Nothobranchius furzeri: one gene and its partners. The protein of the gene in region 2 interacts with the protein of the main gene of each other region in a biochemical or structural test. Links are inferred from orthologs where the notes say so. Each region holds a gene or a part of one and is shown on either strand. Other genes may lie near its edges.

Region 1 (3,655 bases), on a different chromosome or scaffold from region 2:
GAGACAGCTTTTAAAATGATTAATGCAGCCACCCATAAGGTAGACACAAAAGTTTTTCCACTTAAGTTTAGAAAAGTGGTCCTCTGGGCTTTAGTGCCCCCGCTGCAGAACTCTTAACAGATAGGTGCCAATATCGGATCATCTAGTGATGCTGAATTCAAACATTACTGTCAAAACATCATAAAAGAAAACTGAAGCTAAGACAGTGTAAGAAATGAGTGACCCTTTCAACTAGGCTGGATAAGGCTTCAGAGAGTGCAGAATGCAGCGGCTAGATTCCTGACAAACACCTCTTGACGCTGTCACATTTCACCTGTCCTTGCACGCTTGCACTAGCTGCCGGTTAAATATCGTATCCAGTTTAAGGTCTTAACCTTAGTTTACAACATCCTGAATGGTCAAGCCTCTGCTCATCTGTCAGAACTGCTCATGCCTCATGTTCCACCCAGAACCCTGAGATCAGCAGATCATTTACTTTTGTACATCCCAAAAATGAAGTATAAATCTCGTGGGGAGCGGGCCTTTGTGTTCGCTGCTCCTAAACTTTGGAATGCTCTCACCCTTAGTGTTCGACAGGCCCCAGAACTGGGTTGATTCAAGTCTGTACTGAAGGACTACTTCTACTATTTAGCTTTTGATCAATGACCAAGCTTTTATTGTTATAGAATCTTCCCTGTTGAAATGTGCTAACCTTTTAGCATTGTTTTTATTGTGACTTTGTTTTTACTCTAGTATGTTTCTTTTACATTTTTAGGTTATCCCTTTTATCTCTTTTATGATATTTATCTTGTTTTTATCTTGGGGTTTTCCTTTTACTACTACTGTACAGCACTTTGGTCAGCTGTCATGCTGTTTTTAAATGTGCTTTATAAATAAACTTGGTATGGTATGGTATGGATAAAGATCCACAAACGTGGATCTACAACAGCTTTTCTTTGAGCCTCTATTGGCGCTTACACATTAGCGTAGGTACGGGCCCATAAGGTACCGAACGGCACCGGAATTTGGTTTCACACACCGGTCCGATTAGCGTTTTCAGTGCCGAGGCGACTTTTTCCCAGACCTTCTCCCCAGCGGTCAGACTGGGACCGAGGCGACACTACGGACTGACTGGCCGGCTGAAATTACGCCTACCGCCTCCGATCTGCGAGAAGAATCAGCCAGCCGGGGGTTCCTGCATGTGCGGTTCATTTTCATGCTGGATGCTGTTGAGTTAACTTCTGTCTGTTGCACGGAGCTGCCGATCCGGAGCTGCTATTAAGTGTGGGAGCGGGAGAAAAGAATAGCTTTGTTTGAGTGTGTGTGTGTGCATGCATGCTCCCATTCTCCGCATCGGAGCTCTTGCCCCTCGCAAGCAGACAGCTGCTCAGGGGAGAAATCAGGGGGTGGGCGGCACAAGATTATGAGGGGACACAGAGTAAATTAATAAAATAATGTGGTTCAGAGTCTCCAAAAGCAACACAGCTCATGTCCGCCTTTTGGTACCTTATGGAACGGACTTTCCCGCGCGTATTAAGCGCCCCCCACAGGCTTGGGGATTTCCGCATCTTGAGAAGTTCCTCGGATTAATATGTAAACACTACACCGACCATACCAGCCCAAACTCACGCCATCCTGCCCGACCAAACCCCGACCGTTACGACGCTAGTGTGCAAGCGCCATATAAAGCACATGACACTTTGTTGGGGTCCACAATGCCCTAGGAGCTCTGATAATGAATATTAAATGAGCTGCATGCTGATTGGCTGGTTTAATGGCTCAATGACACTGCTCAAGCTAGAATCTCTGTACAGCAGTGTACAATATCCATATTATTCAATAGAAAGCTACAGATCTATCTGGCATTCATTATAAGTTTGGATATACCCTGTACATCCTGGAACGTTACATGTGTTTTCCCTTTGTTTATAAGAACATTAGCAGTAGCTCGGGCTAGCATTTTTCTGCAGTTAGCATTACTGAGATCAAAGTTTATTCATTGCGGATGTTGAAGTGGGTTGGAGCATGCTAATGTAGGGAGGTGCGTCTATGCTTATGACGCGTTAAACCAGTTTTTGTCAGGATGAACCGTTTCTCCGTGACCATTACAACTTTACTAATTTACAAGTTGCAGACTTTTTGGTACGCTACATAGACATCTCAAGTTGCCTCTATTCAACAACAAGGTAAAAGTGGTTGTTGAATTGTAGGACCCATTTAAATATGCGAACACACACACACACACACACACACACACACACACACACACACACACACACACACACACACACACACACACACACACACACACCCTTTGCTCTTACCTGAGGTGAATCAAAAGGATATCGACTACTAAATTTGAATAGCAGCTGAAATTTCTCTCCTTCATAGAGTGTACCGGGCGCTCCCTCCATATCTACAATCCACCTAAAAACAAAAAAGGACAATGATGACTAAAACATTCCCCCGGTGCCCCAATAAAGAACACAGGTTACCCAAATGTTTACTGTCGAATATAAACGTTACAGGGGTGGTAATCATATTTTCTGAACCATTGGTATTGAAGCTGCTTTACCAAATCAGCACAGCAAGTTGGCCATTCCATATAAACACAGTCAAAAGACTCTCATACCTCCGTCGGCTAGGCCACGCCCCCCAATACGGGAATGCGCATTGCCAGAGTAAATGGGAGAGCACAAATCAACAATCACATTTTTCTATGCCTAAACATCTTTGGTGTCTGTGACTTCAAATGGTGTTTTTTCTTTTTGGGACTCTGGTAGTTTGTCCTTAAGTTGAAGTGGTAGCAGCTGGCTGTTTCTCCTTATCTGATATTAATATTATATGTGCTTGGTCTCGTCTTGGTAACAAAGGCATTTTTACTTGGCCTTTAAAAATGGGACCCAATGCTTGACACAGCTTTAAAGGGTTGGATTGGGGGGTTAAACTACGAAATAGTTCCCGAGCGCAGCCGTGTCTGCAGCACACCGCGCCTCCCCACACAAGTGTGTGTGACAACTAGGGCTGCACGATATTAGGAAAACCGGCTATATTCGATAACAATGATTAAATTGCGATAACAATATTACTTGCAATAAATAAAAACTTATCTCATGAACAAAAATAATCAAAAACAAAGAAGAAAAAAAAAAACGAGAAAAGCAAAAGATGTGAGGAAAGGGAAAAAGATAATGAACAAGAAAAGGTAATCAGTGGATCCCAGGAAAAGCAGAATCAGCAAAAAGAGCAGAACAAAGCTAACTCATGTGTTTGCTAACCATCAAAATTAAGTACTGTCCGCCTCAGGGGCGGGCATCTAATCTATGAGAACCCACCCTTTTGGCCAAATGGGTGAAGAGCTCTATTTGATTTGTTAAAAAAAACATCAGGCTTCCATTTGATTGACAGAATGCATTATGTGTAGCAAACATTTGAGCTGATCATTCATTGCGATATTTATCTGTTCTTTGTGATATGCATATTGTGCAAGCTGATATCGCGATAACAATATATTTACGATATATTGTGCAGCCCTAGTGACAACTATGGGACTTTAATCTTTAATATGGTCAAGGGCCTGGTCTTGGTTCTCTCTCATCTTGGTAATGTCGTGGTCTCGGATAATTTGGTATTGATTACAACAACTAGGTGAAGGTTTTAAGACAAAATTGAGAGA
Region 2 (3,755 bases):
TAGTTCAATACCTATTTCATATTATTTAATTGTAATACCCGTTACATGAGCAATATCGGTCTACCCCTAACTCTAACCTCATCATCTTCCTACCTATGTAATCATTGTCTCTCATCTGGACATATCCAAACCAACTCAGTCTGTCCTCTCTGACTCCAAAACATCTAACATAATGTAACGTTACCGCATGCTGTTGGAAAAGAAGCGTGCTTGCCTTCTAGGTGATCTACTGCTGTCGGCGTGGTATGTATGTGCGGTGCGCCCCCTCCCTGCACGCTCAGTATGAATATTCTTTTCTGGGTTAATAAGGTTTATTACCTTTTTTGTTTAGGACCCGAGGTGTTGTGATGCTACGACAAAGTGTTTTGAGTCACTGCTGTGACCCCCCTCCCCTCTCTCCCTCAACAACCGAGGAGCGGTTCGACAGAGCGGACCGACCTATCGGGAGCAGTTTGGGCCACCGCTCACTGTACGTTTACATGCAGCCAGTAACCCTTTTAAAACCCGAATATTCACAATAACCCGGTTCCGCACGGCCATGTAAACACCGCCAAAAGCCCGGATATGCTCATAACCGGGTTTTTAAAAACCCGGTTACTACACCTGGGGTAACCCTTTTCTAACCCGAATGTTTGGTCGTGTAAACACATATCGGGATATCCCCTTCAAAGCGTGTGTTCTGCGCATGCTCTGTTCGCAAGGGATCTTGGTCTTTTGAGAAGCGAGACGTCTTGTATGCGCCAGAACACTGGAAGTAAACAAGATGGGAGCAACATGGCGAGTCGCGGCACAGCACCACACTTTTGGAGTGACGAGGAAACCTGTCTTCATCGGTCTGGTGAAAAGTATGAACATTATGTCTTTTGTTGACAGCCGAAAGTACAGAGACAGCGAAATATGACGCATATTGCGTCTTGACGTAGTCCATACGTCCTGACGCTACCCCAACGTCCGCATTTAAATCGGGTTATGCAAGTTAGGGGTAACTCTTTCTATTTATTATGCTTGTAAACGGGTTATTCTGATCAACTCAGAAACCCGAATACCGACCTTAACCCGATCATAACCCGGATATTGGCTGCATGTAAACTCAGAGCATAACCGAGGATTTTAACCAGTGCTGGTGCTCCTCCGCCAGACGTTCTCCCGCCCAGCATGTTGGTTGGAGTGGAAAGGGAGACCTTTTCTCACCTCTGACGCATGAGGATTTTGGAGCACTATTGTATTTCAACAGAGTTTATTTTATTGTGGTTTTTAACTTTTATTTGTCCAGGCTGGAGCCAAGGGTGGTGGCGGTGGTTCTTCCGTGTGCGAGTTGGTGTGGGCCCCCCTTCACATCTGTGTGACTGTTCACTGGTGCTTTGGGTGACTATTGGTATTTAGTTTGTGTTGTTGCTAGAACCTCCAGTGGGTCCACCTTACCTTGGTAAGCTCCAGCCTGGTAACACTAATTATTTTCTTTCCTTGTTTTAATTCTCCCTTTCTATTTTTAAATTAGTAGTTTAAACTGCTGTCCTTTTAACAAAACACGAAATAAAATTGTGGACTTTGCGTACACCTCGTTTCTGTCGCCTTTGTGAGAGCATTGAACCTATGTGCGCCTAAAGGTACCATTTTATTTTCCTTGGGTGAAATTCCCAAGATGGCATTGTTTTAATCTTTTAACTTAACATTCTGTTTAGTACCAGCACACCCATACCACCTCTGTCACCACAATAAGCTGCCCCTTTCTTCTTAAGCTGCGCAACCTCTAACTCTACTTCCTGTCTTTACCTTGTGGACGCTGTCTCTAAAGCAGACATGGCTGGTCTCACTAGTATCTTTACACCTTAGTAGAAACTCCTCACACCTGATACCTTCCATCTAAATCTACAGTACTTCCATCTAAATCTACAGTACTGAGGATGGTATTTGTTTACAGGCGTATTCATTTAAGCGCAATTAATTTCAAAGTGTTCTTCAAGGAAGTCAATGTGTCACTAAAATAACAAAAACAGGTGGCTTCGGTCCAAAATCTAAACGGATGGAGTTTCGTTTTACCATCACGACCAGAGACAACTGGTTAGCAGTTAGCTTCTCTCACAACTGGTTAGCAGTTAGCTTCTCTCACTCACCACCAGGTGTTTTCATGTGTTCGGCTCGAACGTGACACGTCTCACCTCAAACGGAGAATTCGCGGTCCAAGAAAATCTACTTCTGCCCCAGAACACCGAAACGAACGATTGTAATGTTAGCTTTTACTTTCTGCGCCTTCTGCGGTTACAACCGGAAGTTGTACTCTAACGGTGAGCTCACTAGCGCCCCCTGCAAAGTTCAGATGGAACTGCGACGTTAAAAATGTGTTAAAACAAATTTAAGAAAATCATATTATTTGATAGTAATATATTTATCTCCAATTCCATTTTCTTGAATAATCAATGCAGTACACAAATTTAATGGTTCAGTTTGAAACTGATTTTATTGATGCCAAAATCAAGCCTCCAACATGATAGAACTATTCCAGGACTAAACTTACAATCACTCTGACTAAGGTTCTGTTACAAAAATAATGTTATCAATAAAGTAAAAATAATATCAGTAAATTTTGCATATAATATTTTTAAAATGAAGTGTGATTTGCGTCAAAGTTCTCCATCATACAAAAATATTTAAAATTATTAGAAATACTCACCAGATCTATTTTGAACCTAAAATGGTAAACTCAACAGCAGAAAATACTGATTATATTTTCCTCACAAACCACCTTGAATTTACATCTGAACCACATGGGGTCCAGATCTAAACCATCACTGTTTACAACCATAGTCAAAACGCATTTGAACATATGCATTTTTTTTTAAACTTTCAACAAGTTTTATTTGAAGAGCTTGTCCAGAAAAACTCTGATCAGACCACTGAAACATTTTGGTGTGATCAAAAAATTTATTCTGAGATGATTAAAATCATTTATGATTTAATTTTGTATCAGAAGGCATTGACAATATGGTTCTTAACCAGAAGGAGGATTTGTCAGAGTAAAACAAACATCTTGTATTGACCAAGGAACAGATGGCTCAAACAGGTCAACATAAAAGTTTCAACATTCAGATTTTATTTGAAGTCAAATCAACAAATGCATCAATGACATCAGCCACGCAAACTTTCACAGCTTCCTGCTGTCACAAATGAAGCAAAAACATTCAACAAAAGATGAGCTGAAGCAAACAGGTCCAGTGGTGCCAGAGCCAGGTCAAAGATGCTGAGGCAGATGCACGAATGTTTACATAAACATGAAATAAACAAAATCAGTTTCATGTTTTAAGTAAAGATCTATGAGATTGGAAACATGTGACAAAAGGAAAGCTACATATCTATCCACCTATCTGTCAACAACTGCCAGAAGCATTGTGGGAGCTGCAGTACTGTATGGTGACCCAGTGCATTGTGGGAAAACCTGATCGGGGGCTGGAAAATTCCAGCGTGACCTGGCAGGGTCTGCTTTAGGGCCGCGCCTTCATGAGCGCCTCACCGAGCCAGATTCCTGAACGCAGCACTGAAAAGACAAGTTGTCAAATAAAGGTCTGTAAGAACAGAATCATTCACTTTTGATTTTAAACTGAATTTATTAAAAAGCTAAATCCTCTCAGGTGGATTTGGTCCACCCAGCTTTCACCCAAAACATGCATGTCACATGTCATGGACAAAAAGAAGGAACTGATCTTAAAACTGCCTGTTAAAAGTCAAAGCTTTGAAATCATCACATATAAGTAAGTAAG
Region 3 (3,447 bases), on a different chromosome or scaffold from region 2:
CTCAAACCTCTTCTTATGGAATTGCCACACAGAAGAGTAACGGATCAGGGAGCAGAACGTTCCAGCAAAACCCAGCCTCCTCTCTTGGTGTCCCAATTCAGCCAGACAACAGAGCAGAGCAGCAGCCTCAACAAATCCTCATTCAGTCTCCTCAGGTTATTCAAAGTGGAGCACCTCTTCAGACCATACAAGCCAGTACCGTTGCAAGTGCAGGTGGTCAGGTGTTTGCAGCTCCAACACTCAGCCAAGAGGGGCTTCAAAATCTTCAGATTATGCCAAACACAGGGCCTATCCTCCTGCGCACTGTAGGCCCTAATGGCCAGGTTAGCTGGCAGACCCTTCACATCCAGAGTCCAGCAGGTGCACAGATAACACTAGCCCCAGTGCAGTCTCTGCCCCAGCTCGGGCAGACTCAAGGAGCTACCGGAGCTGGAACGGTACCGGTGCAGATCCCAAATCTTCAGACCATAAATCTCAACTCACTTGGAAGCACAGGGCTGCAGATGCATCCTCTGCAGGGAATCCCCATCAACATCACAGGTGCATCAGGTTAGACCAGCTTGTTTATAAGTTTCTCATTATGTGTCTCAATATGCTTTATAATAACCTCCAGTCAACAGTAGGACCATGCTTTCTATAACTCCTGAGTTATGGAAAACAAATTTGTGTCATTTCTATTTAATTAGCCCACATTTTATCATGACTGTTTACGAACCATTTATTTCCTAAATATGATAAAATTTAGATGCAAAAAGAGAAAAAGTACATGCAAACAACAACAATGTCTCAGGATTAGTATCTTTAAAATGAGGTTTCGATGTTTGGTATCGCTTCACTTTGCATGCAAGTTAAATTCTGGTTAAACCAGTTCTACTATCTGAGTTTTCCCTGAGCCTTAAACTGTAAACAAGCTGTTTGTGTTCGATTTCTTCATCTGATAGTTAAATTACACTGAAGGCAGTTTGGCATAGTTACTGTATTACACAGGGTATCCGCGGGTCCTTAAAAAGTCTTAAATTGACTTTTCCAAATTTAAGGCTTTGAAAATCCTTAAAAATGACAAATAATCCTTAAATACAGTTTCCAAAGGTCTTAAATTACCAAAGACCCAATAAACTAGACTGTTTTATTTCTATGACATTTTTGTGAATTTCTAGTTAGTGTTCAGCATTTTTTGTGTACGATGTTGGTGTAAGCGGAACCGCACATATTCAGTTGGTTGTGAAAGGGAGCTATTTTTAGATGAGCACATTCGCTGGTTAAGCTAGTGGGAGCTTACGCCATGGAGAAGTGCAAGTTTAATGGTAACTGGATGGCTAATCCCACGTTCGTGGCGTGGTTAGGAAATTATAGCAGAAATTACATTTTAAAAAATAGCTTAAATTTGGTCAAAGTGGCCTTAAAAAAGGTCTTAAAAAGTCTTAAATTTGACTCACTTCAACCTGCAGTTACCCTGATTACAGCACAGGACCATTCCCCTCTTCTCTCAACCCTGTTTGTGTTTGTTGCTCCTAAATTGAGCAAATTCCAACAATTGTGAGAAATCAATTATGGAATATCTGATTCACCTTTCAGTGTCAGAGCTGACTTTACACTAGCATTTACACAAGTGTGGAGGGTAAAAAAAAGCGTAAACATTCGTATCATTCAAATTGGTTGAATGGTTTTGTTTACAATGGTACAACAAAACACTATAATCCTCTCCAGTTAGCCAGCTATGTGGAGATGAAGCTGAGTTTTTGGTGTTCAGTCTAAGCATGCACTTCTCTTCCCATGGATGCAAAATGCATTGACCAGTTGTTCAGCCATTCTGGCTAAGCTGCAGACAATTAACGGCAACTTGTTATTGTCATAAAAAATTAAGTAGAAACCTTGCTGAAAAGTGTGGTTGTTTTCTATACCGAGTTTGATAAATAAAATTTCTTCAGACAAAGAAAATCCTCAACACTTTTTCCCACGCTCTTCCTTCATGGGTGTAGGTGAGCAGCCGTTGCTGACTGCTGGAGAAAGTTTGGACAGTAGTGCAGTTATGGAAGATGCAAGCATGAGCCCACCCTCTCAGGGGCGCCGGAACCGCAGAGAAGCCTGCACTTGTCCTTTCTGCAAAGATGGAGAAGCCCGGTGAGTGACTGAAGGTTATGTTATAATGTCATCCTGGTCAGATTTTAATGTAACTCTGAGTTTTTATGTTCTTATGATGAAATGTTATTTGTAATTAGTTTTTCACAAAAACAAAACATGCTTTTATCTTAAAAAAAAACATTTCGTAAGTACATTTGTCAATGCTGGTCAAAAATGTCTATTTTTCTTTCATTACATGAGATTTAGTGACATCTAGTGGTGAGGTAATTCAGGTTTGCTGTTTGAAACCATTTAATTGCTCATGTGTTTTTTTTTTAACCCTCTCAGGCTCAAAATAAGTTTGGATAAAAGGAAGTGTTGTCCAAGTGTTTTGACTGTTATACGTTGTTTATTCATTTTCCACTATGGAAATCACCAAGAGACGAGTGAGCATTGGTGATGATAGAATGAAGAACTAATGTTTTAAGTTCCTGCAATCTTCCATTACCCCAAAATTCCACTACCTCCGCTCCGCCCCCGCCTTCCGCAGCCGCTCCCTTCCGAACTCAATTTTTACTGGTACCCGCTCCGGTGCGGAGACCTGAGGTGCGCAAACGGGCATGCGCGGGATTTTCGAGATCTTGCAATACAGTCCGAGCAATAAACGTGGAACTTAGATCCAAACACCCGACCCGTTGTGTGGGAGCAGCATCGAAATGAACTGTTTAATCTGCCCATCATTTGTGTTGAGAGATCAGCAGTGCTTGGATCAACAAAGTGTGACTACTTTGATTGTAGAAACTGTATTTATGGCTTATTTTTGTGCATTTAAAGTTCAGCCGCCATTGATAGTTGTTAAAAGTTGTTAAACCTGTGCATATGAAACAAAAAACGCCTTTTTTTAATCAATTTATTGTGAAATAACGGAAGCTGTGTTTACTCCTTTTCCTGTTGGGCGGTTGTGGTTTCTGTCCATTGACTGCGGAGGTGCTCCGGCGTCCGGCAAAAATAGAATCGATCCTATTTTTGCCGGATGGCGGAACGGCGGGCGGCGCACTGCGCCGCACGGCCACAGTAGTGGAACAGCTCTGATTGATTACAACGGGATCGATTTTGCTGCGGAGTTCGTGCCGGAGCGCAGCGGAGCGGAGATAGTGGAATTTTGGGGTTAGTGTCCATTCTTACTTCGATACAGAGGGTAATTTGACCTAGAAATTTGGAAGCAAATAATTCTTTCAAACTCATGTTTTGGCAATTGTTTATTTTATTTGTCCAACAGAGACCCAAATAAAAAGAAGCAGCACATTTGTCACATTAGTGGCTGTGGGAAAATTTACGGCAAGACATCCCACCTCAGAGCACATCTCCGCTGGCACACTGGAGAAC

What was found. The genes of interacting proteins can lie anywhere in the genome.
Region 1: the proteins of rnf4 (region 2) and ube2wb form a complex in vitro, tested with the Homo sapiens proteins (2 studies listed by BioGRID). The link is inferred for Nothobranchius furzeri from reciprocal best matches to the Homo sapiens genes RNF4 and UBE2W.
Region 3: the proteins of rnf4 (region 2) and sp1 form a complex in vitro, tested with the Homo sapiens proteins (2 studies listed by BioGRID, with this or other methods). The link is inferred for Nothobranchius furzeri from reciprocal best matches to the Homo sapiens genes RNF4 and SP1.

What each region holds. Positions count from the first base shown.
Region 1 is NC_091747.1:53,051,253-53,054,907, forward strand, and holds part of ube2wb (probable ubiquitin-conjugating enzyme E2 W-B), read right to left. Parts: intron 2,407-3,655; coding exon 2,304-2,406; intron 1-2,303. UniProt on the Homo sapiens protein: Accepts ubiquitin from the E1 complex and catalyzes its covalent attachment to other proteins.
Region 2 is NC_091741.1:64,325,140-64,328,894, reverse strand, and holds the start of rnf4 (E3 ubiquitin-protein ligase RNF4), read right to left. Parts: upstream 2,306-3,755; 5' UTR 2,160-2,305; exon of another isoform or gene 2,115-2,159; intron 1-2,114. UniProt on the Homo sapiens protein: E3 ubiquitin-protein ligase which binds polysumoylated chains covalently attached to proteins and mediates 'Lys-6'-, 'Lys-11'-, 'Lys-48'- and 'Lys-63'-linked polyubiquitination of those substrates and their subsequent targeting to the proteasome for degradation.
Region 3 is NC_091743.1:62,039,713-62,043,159, forward strand, and holds part of sp1 (transcription factor Sp1), read left to right. Parts: coding exon 1-549; intron 550-1,979; coding exon 1,980-2,121; intron 2,122-3,340; coding exon 3,341-3,447. UniProt on the Homo sapiens protein: Transcription factor that can activate or repress transcription in response to physiological and pathological stimuli.